3 linked regions of the Drosophila melanogaster genome follow. The protein of the gene in region 2 interacts with the protein of the main gene of each other region in a pairwise test. Each region holds a gene or a part of one and is shown on either strand. Other genes may lie near its edges.

Region 1 (3,448 bases), on a different chromosome or scaffold from region 2:
TGCGACGCAACGAGCGTAATGTGATGAAGGTTCCTCGTACCATCCGTGAAACGGTGGCTGCCAAACAGCTCTTTGAAAAACTCCTGAAGGATGTGCCAGTGAAGCAGTCCGCATTTACTCCGATGCTGGAACTCTTCGTTCTGCTGCACAAATACCAGGTGAAGCTTAGCGAGGAAACATTTGAGCAGGTTATGGGATTGGAAACGGCTTGGCTGCATTACCTTCAGGTGCTGGAGGAAGCGGATGAGATGCTGGACAATGAGGACAGTGAGGCCAAGTTGCTATTGGCCAAGCACGGCGAAAAGTTCAAGTTGATATTAAAGGATTTCCTGGAGGATTTCTATTCCAAATTACCCAAGAAATAGGAGTATCATAACTATTATCATAAGTGATAATCAATTTATTTACATTAAATTTAATTTGCACACCTACTAGCTGAGTAATGGGTATGTGATAGTCGGGGAAATTAACTATAGTGATTTATTGAAAAACATGCAAATACTTCTCACATTCCGAACTTTTATTAAACTCTTTTTTCCCCAATTGAGTCCTGCCCAGGATTACAAGTCATAGCAGAGCGATTTATTGGTACAGGGACAACCATCGATGCCGTAACGCCCAATCGGAATGTCCGTCTGGGTCTCCTTGTGCTGCGGTCCTGGCAACTCGTAGAATTTCTTACCAAAGTATCGATCCGGGAGATAGTACGATGGATACTCCGCCCTCAGCCTCTCGTGATCCTCCCGCAGAAATTTTGCCAGTTCGGGAGTAGCCCGTCGAGCTTCCAGGCGATACTGCTTCGGCTTGGCCATTCGGATTGGAACTTCCAGGTGGAGCTTCGAGTGCGGTATGTAGGACAGCAGCTCCTGGTCGAGTTTCACTGCCTGCTCTGCACGAATTTGTGCGCAAGTGGCACACTTGCATTTTCCACCATGGTAGCAGTACCGCTTTCGTCCATCCTCGTCCACCATCAGCAGTGGGGTGCAGATGGGCGACGGAACCGGTTGTGCCTCCGTCTGCGTGGCAACCGACTCCTGGGCGGGATCGGAAAACATTGTGGAAAGAGTGGGGTTCAAATCGGAAAGGTACGAACGATTTGGATTGCAGAATGAAACTAAATATCGGAGAAAAACAGATGTATTATCAGCAAACTCCTTGGCAACTAGATATCAAAAATTACAAATTTTAAATTAAACATTTTATATTGTGCAGCTTGATTAAAGTTTCCAAGTGGCTGGAGACACCTCTGCTGCATCCACAACTAAGTGCAGAGTGAGGATATGCAGCGGAGGAGTTCCACAGCCAGGTGAGATCCCCATGCCGATCACAATCTTTTATCCTCAATCGTTTATCCCCCGTGCAGTAAATGTTTTTGCTGAGATCCTTCTTATCCCGCTTCACAAAACCACAATCCGGACACACATGGGACATCGCTGGATTTCTTTGTGCAGCCTTCATCTGAAGATAGTAATCCTTGAGCTTTCGCTGACGCACTTCCTCGAAGAACTCGCGCATTTGTGGCGAATCCCGAACAGTGGGCTCCTCGATGGGCTTCCTACTCGCTTGCATTGGACAGACGACATCGTCGTGTTGAGCATTCTTCGACATTTTCAACTGATCGTGTCGGCCGCTCGTTATTTTGCCTTTTCGCGAAGAAGAGGACATATATGACATGTTATCCAAATCCGTGATCCTGATCGAAGCACTTGTCCTCTTTGGCACTTTGGATGGCATGCTGATATCTCGACTTTGCTGCGATCCATTCGTGAACTTTCGAACGTAGGTGTTGGCCCTGGTCATTGACCCGGTCGTTTTGAGTAAATACCAGTTGAGGCCCATTGGTAGTTGGTCGATAGTCGAACTGCAACGGTAGGATAGCTTTTTCTAAAACTGGAAATTTTGACTAAAAATATATCGATACCTGTGATTATGGAAAATAGAACTTAATCCAAAGGAATCATTAAACTTTGCACACAATAAACAAAAAAAAAAAACTAATTAAAACTAATAAATAGCGTATCCCCCTATCTTTGCGTCATGATATCTTATCATATCATTTTAACATGCCAAATTGCATCATGCTAATCATTAGGTAGGTACTGCTTCTCTATAAACCATAAAGTGCTTTTAATGATTAGAAAGCTTTTCATTTCCAATTCGCTCTTATCGTGTAATCTCTAACAACGAATGAGCTTTTGGAGAGTAGTACAAAATGAGCTATATGAAATGGTTTATGCTCATTCGCTATCCACAAGCGAAGCGGTTGGGATCGTCAGTACCGACGAAATGGAGAAGATCGAGGCTGAGAGGCAATGGCTGAGATACACGGTTCTTCCGTCAATTCTGAGGAACGGGCGCCTGGTGGACAACTACAGCGAGTCCAAGGTGACCACATTCCATGTGGGGGACATCGACATTGATGTAATTGGCCACTCGGAGGCCTTTATGCTAACTTTTTGCTACCGGACAACCATTAATTTTGAATACGACGGGCAAAAGTTTCAGCGAAAAATGGTGGTTAAGGTAGGTTTATTCCATTCACATAGTATAAATAAATCTTAAACAATCTATCTGGATATCTAAAAACACAACGAAAAGATTTACTATACTCGCGGAATTTAAATTATATTATATAAGTGCCTTAACTGCGTACTACTTACCAGTTTTGTTTTCCAGCAAACTCAGATAGCTTAGTGAGAGTGTGGGTTTTATGGCAAACATTGTGAAATAGAGGGAGGCATCTCAACAAAAGAACAAAGCGAATTGATTTTGAATTCAAAATAAATCACATCTAATGATGAAGTTTACTTTGGCATGCAATGACCCCAGAATACCAATAATTAATTGTTTTTTTTTTTTTTTGTAGAAAACACCTGCTATGCCACCAGAAATGTATGAATCCATACAGTTTGGGCCCCTTTTTACCAACGAGATAAATTTCTATACGGAAATTCTGCCAGAGTTTCAGAAGTTCACCGATGGCAAGTTTGCCGCACCCAAGTACTATTACGGCGAGTTGAACCAGCATTCGGCTGTGGCCATTCTGGAGAATTTCGCGGAGCAGGGATGGCGGGTCACCAAGGATCGTGTGGGTCTGAGTCTGCAGCACGCCATGATTGCCGTGAGTTACCTGGGAAGGTTCCATGGCTTTGCGTACGCCATGAAGCACAAGAACCCGGAAAAGTTTGCCCAGCTGACTGACAATCTGAAGGAATCTCGCTATGCCAACGATAACATTCATCCGGAATGGAAGCTCACCATGAAAACGAGCATCGATCGAGCGGCCAAGGCGGTGGCCACCTATCAGCCACAGATCGACGAGGAGTTTGTTAAGAAGTTCTGTTTCATGATCTCGGACTATTCGCAATACGGTAGGCAACGGGTGGCGCCCAGGGAGCCACTGGCCACCCTGTGCCACGGCGATTATGTGAGGAATAATGTGGCGTAC
Region 2 (5,958 bases):
AGCAACAGCATGTTGTTTACAGATTTTATTTCACACACAAAACACATACATATATTTATATACAGATGTATATACTGGCTACTCAATAATTTGCTTTCTAATTTCAATATTTTAACTAAAAACTACACACAAAATCCTGTTCACTAAATTTAAGTTGTCTTTTGCCTAGAGAGAACAACAAATATATATATAAATATATATCGAGAGAGTGCGCATAAAATATCAAGAAAATTTATATATATACTACATATGTATATCGCTCGGATACATATGTGTATTTATCTTGACGACACACATTTATGTATATTCTGAAACATTTATGAAAGAGAGAGAAAAAGAAAAAAACAATTGGTTAGTCCAAAAAAAAGCGAAAAGAAAACTAAATAATTTAGGCAAACGGGGTACCAGGTTGAAGGTGAAATGGGCGGACTTCAGGGGGCTGGGTGTTCGGATTTGGGTGCTTGGGGCTTTTGCCAGTGTGTGAGTGTGTGGAAATTCGGAAAATCGGAAAAGAGAACTTCGGTTTCCGCGCACCGAGGGCCGCCACAGTCATTTGATCCCAGAGCACGCACCGAAAAAAAAAATTGAGTCAAAAATTCCGCTTATATACCTGACTTGATATATAGCGCCTGTGTGTGTTGCCTATATTATTGTCTTCATTTTTTTTATTTTTTTTGTTCATTTTTGAGGCCTTTTGCCAAAATCAACACGACCGAGGCGAAACGAAACGATACGAAACGAAAATTTTCATTGACGTAATTGTATTTGGCCGTTTGGCGCTGTCCATTTTTATTTTTAAATTTATGAAATCATAGCGCTCGCACCAGTTTTCATCTCAAATGAAACGCATAAAAATATGGCGGTTTTGAGATATTCAAGGTGTTGTCAAAAGCTTCAATAGCAGGCAGTGGCGAGATTGCAGTTGTAAGATGATTGTAATGACTCGACTGATTGACTGACTGATTGACTGACTGACTGACTGATTGATGGATGGCGCATCGAAGCGAAGCAGAAAGGCTGAAAGAACTTGTGGCGTTCGGATGGACCGAAGCTTATGTAACCTTGCAAATAACAATCAGGTGATTGCCTTTTTTAATTTTAAATTTTAATTAAAATTTTAAACGTTTTTTTCTAAAAAACTAGATTGAAAGCATTGACATAAACTTTTGAACCTGAATTTCATCTATGTTACTATTCCAGTTTCAAGAATGTTAAAAATATCTTTTAGTTTCATGGCGGATAATTTGTTATGTAAACAATCATAATCATTTATCTATATTATTTGAAATATACTTTAAATGGTAATAACAGGATATCTTAGTTCAATATCCACATTTGCAAGGCCACCGATTTCGGAAGCATTAAGATACAGATACTCGGCTGTGTGAAGCAGTTAGGCGGGAATCGGCTGTAGATAGTACAGTATGTGGTCCGTATATGGTACCAACTTACTTGTTCGGCTGTAGTGATGATCGTAGATGGCACGGGGCGAGTAGCCGTAGGTGTCGCGGCTCACTGGCAGATATCTGTAGCCAGAGGACTGGACGCGCTCATTGGCGGTGGCGGGCTCGTCATAGATGCTCCTGTAGGAGGGCGAGTCCAGGTAGGAGCTGTAGGGACGAGAGGCACGGGGCGCCTCGTGGGCACGGATATCCTCGGAGCCTATAAATAGTTGTTTGGATAACGACGCGTTAGTTCATTGCTTTTCAAATATTTCGGCTATTCTATTCTCACTATTTGGCTCAATGCCAGCGCTGCAGAAATGTATGATTTCTATTCGGTTTCTATCATAGATGCGCCCCCTGTATGTGTATCCTATATTTTAGCCTATTCTTTGTTTAAGGCCTGAGCATATATATTTTACAAATTTCTCTCTATATATTCGAATATACTATGGCGAAAAGCTTTCCCAGCAGAGCGTGTCTAAGTATATAGCTTGGCTGATATGACACCTGCCAAAATAAATAGACTATACACATATAGGCTAAGCTATTTGTGTTGCTCACTGGCGACCAGAGTTTAATAATATCACTTTTGAGTGTCCCTTAATCATATCGAAATGGGAACACTTCGAGTTAATCTTCAATTGTTTTTTGAATTATTTTGGAACTATGCAAACTCCCTACTATTGTGACTAAGCAATCAATAGTAGTTTTGAATAACTATCCTATCTTTTAATGTAATTTTTGAGCTTATTTAGTGAATGCTTACCCTTCAGGGACCTGATGTAGGACTGCCAGAATTTCGCCTTCTTGCTGGGGCTCTCATTGCGCCCAATCATTTCCAAGTGGTTTTTGAACATTTTGATCGATTTGTTTTGTTCTGTTCACGAAAAAATCGTTGAACTCGTTCGCTGTAATAAAGTTGGGAAGAGAGATGGCTTAGCAATTTTCCAATGTGTTTCAAATTTCCTTTCCGCCTATTTTATTTTATTTTTTTTTTTTGTCCGTTTTCAATTTAATCTATTTCCCGGGAAATGCCAGGCAGCACGCACGAATTCGAATCGCTTGTCTCTCGATTGATGGGATGTTTTCTCAGTTGAATTTTTTGCTTTCGCGTTGAAAGTCTCTCGGTTCGAAAATAAACAGACTGTGTGCCACTTTAGAGCAGTGCAAAGTTTATAAAACATATACATAAAATCTAATATAATACCGCGATCGGGCAACAGCAGCTAACGCAAGATCAATCTCACTAAAAATAAATATATTTCGGTTCGGTTTTTGTGATTTTTCATGTATCGTGGTATTCTCCTGGTTGCTCGAATATAAAAATATTTTTTTGTTGCATAGCAAATTTCACACTTCTGAGTATGAGAACAAATATTCTAGGTGTCGTCAGTGTGTGCGTGTAAATGGGTGAGTGGATGTAAGTGTATCTGTGTGTAAGCTGCAGCTAAATTGGGTTTTATTTTTAAATGTCCTTGAGTTGAAATCGTTCTGTTATTCTGGCTTTTAGCGGAATTTACTTAAGTATCGAAGAAGTGTGCAAAGTCTAAGAACAATTTAGTTGAAGTATGTTTAAAATAGGCCTTTATTATCCATTAAACTAAATTAATTTTGAATTTAATTCAATGTGGGATTTTTGTTTTTTATATTTCACTGCACAAACTCTTGATGAGCTCCAACACTTCGGTATCAAATGTCATTGAGTACGATCTCTCTTATATAATTATAGTCAATGTCTTTTCGCTATGGAACATATCGGATCATTCATAATGCGATCATAATTCCATAATTATTTCACCAGTTAATTGTTCGTCTCCACATTCAGATGTGATGGTGCACTTTATTTAATTTGATTTTATTGTTTTTCATTTCGTTTATAATTATTTAATTTACTATTCAGTTGTATGTTGTTTAATATGTTTCGGGTTCGCTTACAATTTAAATTTACTCCTAAAAAATAGCGATCTATCCTCAACGAAGAATTTTTTCAAACTGCAAACCCCAAGAAAATTCGCCTCACCAATTTTCCTCGTTTCAGAATTTTGCCATTCCGTTTCGGCACCAAAAGCACGGCGCATTCCTTTACGGCGTAGGTTGCTCTATCCGTGAGCGATTTTCATCGCATCTGTGTGGCAAAGCTCCGGAGATTGGTTATGGGAAAGCTTTCCCACCACATTCTGATAGATCGTGTGGTGGCACCCACTCATTGTTTGCAACGATTCAATACCGAAATCGCGATGACGCTGGCGATGATCATAAAAAGAAAGCCAGCCAAGTCATACCACACATACACAATACATATGAGCCCATATTTCTTTCAGAAAATCCCACACCCTATTTTCTGTTTTTGTTTTTCCTATGGTTTTTCATAATTTTAACATATTCTTTGAATGTTTCAAGGGAAAGGCGTCACTTGTGGTATTGAATTGATCAGTGAACTATAAGCTCTAACTAATACATTACAATATTTGGTTTTTTGTAACTAACTAATTCAAAATGTGGTTAGAGGCCGATGGAATTTTTGCCATAAAAGCATTTAAATTCCGTTTATTTGTTTATGTTTTCTTTTGGCTTTGGCATTAGCTATAATTTAGTTTCCTGATAATGGAAAAATCATTTCCAGCAACATGCCCACACAGGTAAATAAACAAAACTGGTCCAGATACATTTAACCAAATAATAGATACTTTAAGCACACAATATATTATTTATAATGAAATCTGTATGAATAGTTTGATATTTTCTAGCTTGTTATGTAAAATTTGCCGTTAATTGATTATTTAAAACATTAGTAACTCATTTTTTTCGATTATACCCTCCTGTAGGGTATATCTTTTTTGCTCACGTGCGACCCAATGATTGATAATCTAAACACAAATTTTCCAGGGAAATTCCTACGAAAACGAATAAACAAAGATGGGTAAAGCTTCCCCCATCATATACAATTACATCGAAACGAGTTGAAGGGCAGATCTGGGAGTACATATGTTTCTAATAATAGTAAATACATTCATGGAGATCATGTTGACCTTTTCAATCGTGCAGATCGCTTACAGAATTTCCTGCATGTGTTTTCTTTTTCCGCCGATAAACTCAAGGCCAAATGCACTTGCATCCAAATGTTCTTTTGACTTTGTTTGTTTAGCTTATATAAATCTTGTTTGTGAATTTTACCCTTAAACAGGCGGGCGGCGTCATTTAAACTTGAACTTGACTTTGAATGAACCGAATGCGGTTTGATGAACCAAATCGAAAATCAAATGAAAATGCACAAAAACTCACGGGAAATTGGGAAATACCTGGCAAAGGTTTTTCTTTCGGCCAATCAGTGATTTCGGTGATGTGATTCAACTTTTACTTTCTGGCACACTTTTTTGGCTTCACAGAACAATGAATTGAGCAACTTTTTATTTTACTTTCGTTTTTTTTTCAGGTTTTTCATTTTAATTTATTTTAGTTTATTGGCGCTTGATTGTGTTTGTTCCAACATCTTTGATGTTTTGCTCAAGGAGACACAAAAATTGGCTAGGAATTGCATACCCTTAAAAGGAATCTCAAATAAAATTTAGTTATTTTAAAAATATTTTAATTGGCCTAGCGGCTTACAAAATAATTATCTTAGAGAAATTTATGTCCCTTGGGAAATGGGGTCAAAATGTAAGCTCATTATTTAGAGGGCACATATGCAAGCAACGTCAAACAATTTGCTTTCGCAAATTCGCCATATTTTATATCGCAGTTTATACCCAAATTAATTGCAAACTGCATTTAATTTCAGATGAGGAGAGCAGACATTTAGCTGTCAGAAAGTCAAATGCACTGTGAATGCATATAAATTATATACATATTATTACTTTCGCACTTGGTGTGTAATAAATTGCTTTCTCAATGTGAAGGACGATTATAGTTTTCGCAAGTGAAATGAAATGAAACGAAAAACAAATTATAGCGATACTACAATGTCAACGATGCGTATGCGCAATTTGCTGTGGCTCAGCAGCTCAGAAAAGCTACAAAATATAATTAATATAAATACCACTTTGAGTCATAGCAAATAAGCGAAAATAAATACATTTGAGCAATTTCTTTCCTTATACCGAATGCATAGTATTTTGTATGCTCTATTTTTTAAATAAGATTTCCCGTATAAAAAAAATGAAATCCTTTTCTCGTCCATTTTAGAGTTCATTTTTTCAACTTGCATCACCTGGGGACTCATAAATAGAGCTTAATGGCTTCTAATGCCTCAGTTGAAAAGCTTTTTCCCACTCTTCGCCTGTCTATCATACAATTTGAATAAAAATACACACATTATGTGGCACTAATACATAGTTTGGCCGAGTCTATATATAACGCTGTTTAACCTTAACATATAGCAGACACCTTCAAATGAATTCTGCTTGAAATATAAAAATAAATATGTGTACTCGATGTATTCGCGTGGATATATTCCCTCGCCTGATTTTGCAGCCGCAATCCGTATCTATAGCTAGGGTCTAATCGGATTCGGATT
Region 3 (5,162 bases), on a different chromosome or scaffold from region 2:
GCAGGCCTCATCCAGGGCTATGAATTATCCCCTCTTGTTTACATTGAACTATTTTTGGGGGCTCTTTCCAAAAGTCAACGAGATGAGTCCAAGGTCTATGATTGTCTTGTACGAAGTGTTTATATGAATTTAGCTAGAGCTACTTCTAGAGATAGCCAGCTATCCTTATCCTTGTGGGTTTGTCATCAGGCATATCCCGATAGATTAAACCCCAAGGAGTGGGAGCTGTTTGTGAACAATTTCATGGGTAGTTCTGATGGCAGTATGGTGCTAAGTCAGCTTGGAAAACTGCCCGACTGCATGCCCAAGGAAGCGCAATTAAAGCTGGCTATGTTACTCCAATTGTTCCCAGATTTGCGAAGCAAGCTCCAGTTGGAGAAGGACTATATCTGGCGCGGATTCATTGAGGCTCAAGCGGATGATGTGCTACGTAAGTTGTAGAAATAATTTAGTTAATTTCATCTTATTCAGATTTATTTTCGAACTTACAGCTGCGTTGGGGTCCAGCTTCCAGCGTGTGCTTATTGCTCAGATTTTCCGACCCGACTTGATGCTTCACCAACTGCGAAAAGTGAGTAGCGATCTGCTGGGAATTTCCCCAGATGCCTCCACCCAACCTTCTGTGGAGCAGTTGCTGCAGCAGAGCAGCTGTGATCGCCCGATTTTGATGGTTAGTCATGCGGAAAATGATCCAACAACTGAATTGAGAAAGTGGGCCAATCAAAAGTATAGAGAAATGGCTATTGGAAAAGGTGTTGAGAAAAGAGTTCTCTCCGAAATGCGTCAGGCTGCCATAGATGGCCACTGGTTATGCGTTAAGAATGTCCATTTGGTGCCGGAATTTCTAACTCAAATGGAAAGGGAATTAAGTGAAATTCAAAAATCGAAAGACTTTCGATTGTGGCTATTGTGCGAATCAACCGAGGGATTTTCCGAAGCTGCCATTTATAAATGCCTTAAAGTACGTTATGAGCAGCCTAAGGGACTAAAGCAGATTGTGATGCGTTTGCTCCAGAACTTCGCTGCTGAACAGGATCAAAAGCTTAAAAACCAACCAAAGAGCCTCAAGATGAGACTGGTTTATTTTGTCCTAACAGCTGTGCTTCAACAAAGGCGACAGTTTATACCACAAGGTTGGTCAAAATACTATGAATTCGGTGAGGCAGATCTAAAAGCGGCTCTGGGTATCCTAAGAATGATGGATCAGCAACTTAATTCAGGAAAATGCGATTGGTTGCTGATGCAACGTCTCAGTGAAGCCCTCGCTTATGGCGGAAGAGTAAATAATCAGAGGGATCTGGAGATACTCACAACCTATCTGAACCAGTTTTGTTCAGCGGACGTCTTAAGCAATCGTTGGTCACCTCTTGGATTATCTCTATCCATACCAACTAGCGGTCAACTGCAGGACTACTACGCTGCATTGGAGAAACTTCCTGACACAGATGAGCCCAGTATGTATGGTTTGGCCAATCAGGCACAACAGCAACGCGAAATTGAACAGGCCAAAAGAGTGATAAAGGAACTCAGGGGATTGCATTACGGAAGAGGCTTGGCTAAGGATTCTGGAGGAGCAGGAGAGTCTAAGGGAAACGATCAGCTCACTGGTCGTCAGAAGCTGGAACAGCAAATTAAACCCCTACTGAATCTATGGAGAAAGTTGGCGGCTTCGTGTACCATAATCCAGACTATGAAGGAGGCAAAAACTGATGTGGGTGAATCTCCCTGGGCACTTTTTGTGCTGGCTGAACTGAAACTAGGGGCGGATCTCTACGGCATAGTTCACCAGACTTTGTCGCAGATGCATGCCTGGCTTAAGGAGTCGCAGGAGGTGGATGGCAGCACTCTGAGAACTCTGGCAGAACAGCAGGTAAGAAACTGGGGTACAGTAACGTAACTTGAAAATGCATAATAAACTGAAATTCATAGATTCCTGCCAGTTGGCTTAAACTATGGCCTGGACCTGGCAGCAACAGTGCCGTGGACTTTTTAAGAGCCCTAATCGTTCGAGCCCAGGCTGCCGAACTTCGATTCCGGGAGCAAATGCATCTGGATTTTGTAGAGGATATCAATTTCGTCCAGGTGTTTAACTGTGAGAACCTGTTGTCCTGTTTAAAGCTGCTGCAGTCTCGAAAACTGGCAGTTTCCACCGAACGCCTGGAGTTGCAAACTTGCGGCTCCTCAAACTTGGAAAGTGATTCTTCGGACATAATACTCAAGCTGGCGCCGCTAAAGGTGAGTAAGAATTAGTATCTTTAACCGATAATGTTTTGACATCAAGTTGTGAAATCAAATTCAGCAAGCCACTTACTCATGATTCAAGGGGTTATGTCTTCTATGTCTTCTTCTTTAGCGACTAAGAATATATTTCGAAGCCATAAAAGGAAATTTAACTAATCGCAGGATAATCAGCCAAGAAATTGCCATAACTATAATATTCGCGGTAGATGGCGCATTGGTTAAGTTGGGGATAACCATTAAATATCATAAGCCCTCGAGAAGCGTTACAGTAAATACAATAAACATTGAGAAATAATTTTGGGATACATTTTGCCAGGTTGCTATATCAGATACAATTGGATGCACACGTAGTAGTAGTAACAGTAACAATACTCTGTTACGGATTACCTGGATAGTAGATATGCATACATCCATAGTCCAAATTGATTCCCCCAATCCAAAATCCCAAAAGATACTTATTTATCTTTTGGGACGAAGACTGATGACATCTTCTCTCCCTCTTGCCCGTTTGCTTCTTGTCTTTGTTCCTCACCTTCCCCATTTTGGCCATAAAATGTGTCTCCATCGCCGTCTCCATTCTGGCCGTTTCCATAGCTTCCGTATCCGTAATCCTGCGCCTCCTGTTTTCGGTGCGCCGCCGCCGTTCAATGCATCGAAATTAAGCTTGAAATGTGCACTGGATGCCCGTTCTTTTCAGTTTTCTCACGCCGCTTTTTTTGTTTTCATTTGATTGACATTCCGGTACAAGAGGGGGAATTAGAGATGGCACCTTGTCCGATGCCTATCGATAAGCAGTTCTGAGCACAAACTTACATTTTACTTTCCCTTCTCGTTTGTATATCTACGTATTCGATGCCAATCGATAATCGGTTTGGAAGCTGACTATGGGGAGTGCATCCGCTATGCCCTGATGGGTGTACCTGCTAGAACTAACACTGTAAAAAAACAAATAACTATTTTTTTGTATATACATTTTAGGACTTGGAGAATAAACTTTGCAAATCATCTACCCGCTTTTCGCCTTTTTTTTTGTTTTTAGCAATTGTGAATATATGTAATGTGGAATATATCTAAGTATTTCATTAGTAACTAAACTTGGCACTATTCATTTTCCATTACAGATTGATGGCGCCCAGAGTGGAATGGGAAAATCGAACCCCTTCTACATCAAGTACAAAATAAAAGACGAAGTACAAAATGTCAGTCATACGACTACTAGTTCCTCAAAATACGGCAAAAATTCGCTATATTCCACGCAAAATGCTGAATCGAAGCCCAAACTCCCATTATATTCTCGGAGCAGTCGCGACAAATTGATTTGCCACCTAAATGTTGATATTGTGACCGGAACTGCGGAACAAATTCTCTTGGCCGGAACAGCGCTAATAGTCGAAGATTATTAAACACCACTCAATATTATTTTATACCAATATATTTCAAATATATATGTAGAGAAGCGAAGAATGTGTTGGACTGACACTTGAATAGCAATTCACCTTCGCAAATATTAAATAAAAACCAAACGAAACTCTTTTAACATTAGTTTCCTACCCTTGACACGCTGTCATTTGGGTCCCAACTAATTCTAAGTAAATATTTAAACAACTAACAATTAGGCAGCCAAAGGCAAACATAAAAATGGGCCATTAAACATTTAAGGCGAGGACTTAGACTCTGAAGAGCTAATTGATTTCCATATGTCTCAGTGTCTGTGTTTATTCGGGGATGCCCCTAAAAATTAATTTGCCACCGCCGAAGGGATTTTATTGCGTCCTGTGTCCCTCATAATCTGCTCATATTAAACTAATTGCCGTAAATTTCAACAACAAACTGCCATAAATGTCGGGCATACTTTTAGTTGCCAAGACATCCCCGACATCCCCCAGGCCCAAAACCATTTTACCGTCAAAAACTTGTCTTAACTTTAATTAAGTGGCATTATGTTCAATTAGGCAAAAGTTTCCAATATGCAAATTAACACAATTTGAGTGTAAAGTGCCTCCCGGTACCGAGAAGGGGGCGTGGCAGCCGGCTTCTGTGGCATATAAATTGCCCTCCGCACAAATCACAGTGCCTCGTATCGGTGGGCGTGGCAGTTTGTTAACACATTTTGCAAATTTAGCTATGCAGACTTCTCAGATTTTGTTGTACGCCTTTCCCAACTTGTTGTGCTGTCGGCTATTGAGAATAAATAATTTATTACGCTTCAAATGGAAATTTAGTTGCGGATTAAGGAATTAGGCAGCGCGATAAGGCTGAAAAGGTAATTGAGTAAGGATATAAAGTGAATGTGTATATCAAAAGATACATAAACTCCGCTCCGAACTTCAAATCCAATTAGCTACAAGGAAGAACAGTTTAAAGACCTCCTTCTTATGCATTTAGGCTACATAAAGATCAATTTCCAAAATATTCCCAAGCCGCAACCACATTAATGAGGCCCTTAAACTATTTCACCCGCCGCAATGCTGGATTACCAACTTAACCAAATAGTTCATCGCATTTAATGTTAAAAGCTTGTGGTTTTGGTTGATTCCAATTCGCATTGAATAATCCCCACAAAGTTGCAGCTTAATTATGTGCCCGCCCCAAAATCCCCAAAAACTTGCATTGCCGATTAAATTTTGAATGTCTAATTTGCAGTTGATGGGCAGGCGAATCCGTACTTTACACTCAAATGCACAAATTGATATCCTCCTTTGGCTTCTTCAGTGTTTAGTGTTTGACAAATGTCGGGGCCAAGCGGCCACATCCTTGTAATCCTTGCCAGCCTACAAGCAACGGCGTCGCCATCTAATTGCAGCCGCCTTCAATGAGCTGGGATTAGAAATTAATTAAAGTATAAGGCTAATGTGACATCTGCATGTGTTTGCCGCCCATTTCCTGGTACATACACACGAATATGTCCCCACATCTGCCAT

Evidence for each region. The genes of interacting proteins can lie anywhere in the genome.
Region 1: the proteins of Mf (region 2) and CG30324 interact in a two-hybrid assay, tested with the Drosophila melanogaster proteins (one large-scale study listed by BioGRID).
Region 3: the proteins of Mf (region 2) and CG5674 interact in a two-hybrid assay, tested with the Drosophila melanogaster proteins (one large-scale study listed by BioGRID).

The regions. Positions count from the first base shown.
Region 1 is NT_033778.4:16,287,086-16,290,533, forward strand, and holds CG30324 (uncharacterized protein), read right to left. Parts: upstream 1,149-3,448; 5' UTR 1,056-1,148; coding exon 561-1,055; 3' UTR 501-560; downstream 1-500. Other genes in the region: CG9068 (uncharacterized protein), read left to right, coding at 1-365; CG30099 (uncharacterized protein), read right to left, coding at 1,186-1,839; JhI-26 (juvenile hormone-inducible protein 26), read left to right, coding at 2,287-2,523, 2,867-3,448.
Region 2 is NT_033777.3:15,176,828-15,182,785, forward strand, and holds the start of Mf (myofilin), read right to left. Parts: upstream 3,444-5,958; 5' UTR 3,381-3,443; intron 2,524-3,380; exon of another isoform or gene 2,495-2,523; intron 2,354-2,494; 5' UTR 2,303-2,353; coding exon 2,212-2,302; intron 1,663-2,211; coding exon 1,453-1,662; coding exon of another isoform or gene 1,394-1,452; exon of another isoform or gene 1-1,393.
Region 3 is NT_033779.5:17,961,217-17,966,378, reverse strand, and holds the start of CG5674 (uncharacterized protein), read right to left. Parts: upstream 3,001-5,162; 5' UTR 2,834-3,000; coding exon 2,774-2,833; intron 2,236-2,773; coding exon of another isoform or gene 1,930-2,235; intron 1,871-1,929; coding exon of another isoform or gene 492-1,870; intron 431-491; coding exon of another isoform or gene 1-430. Other genes in the region: btv (beethoven), read left to right, coding at 1-430, 492-1,870, 1,930-2,235, 3,363-3,644.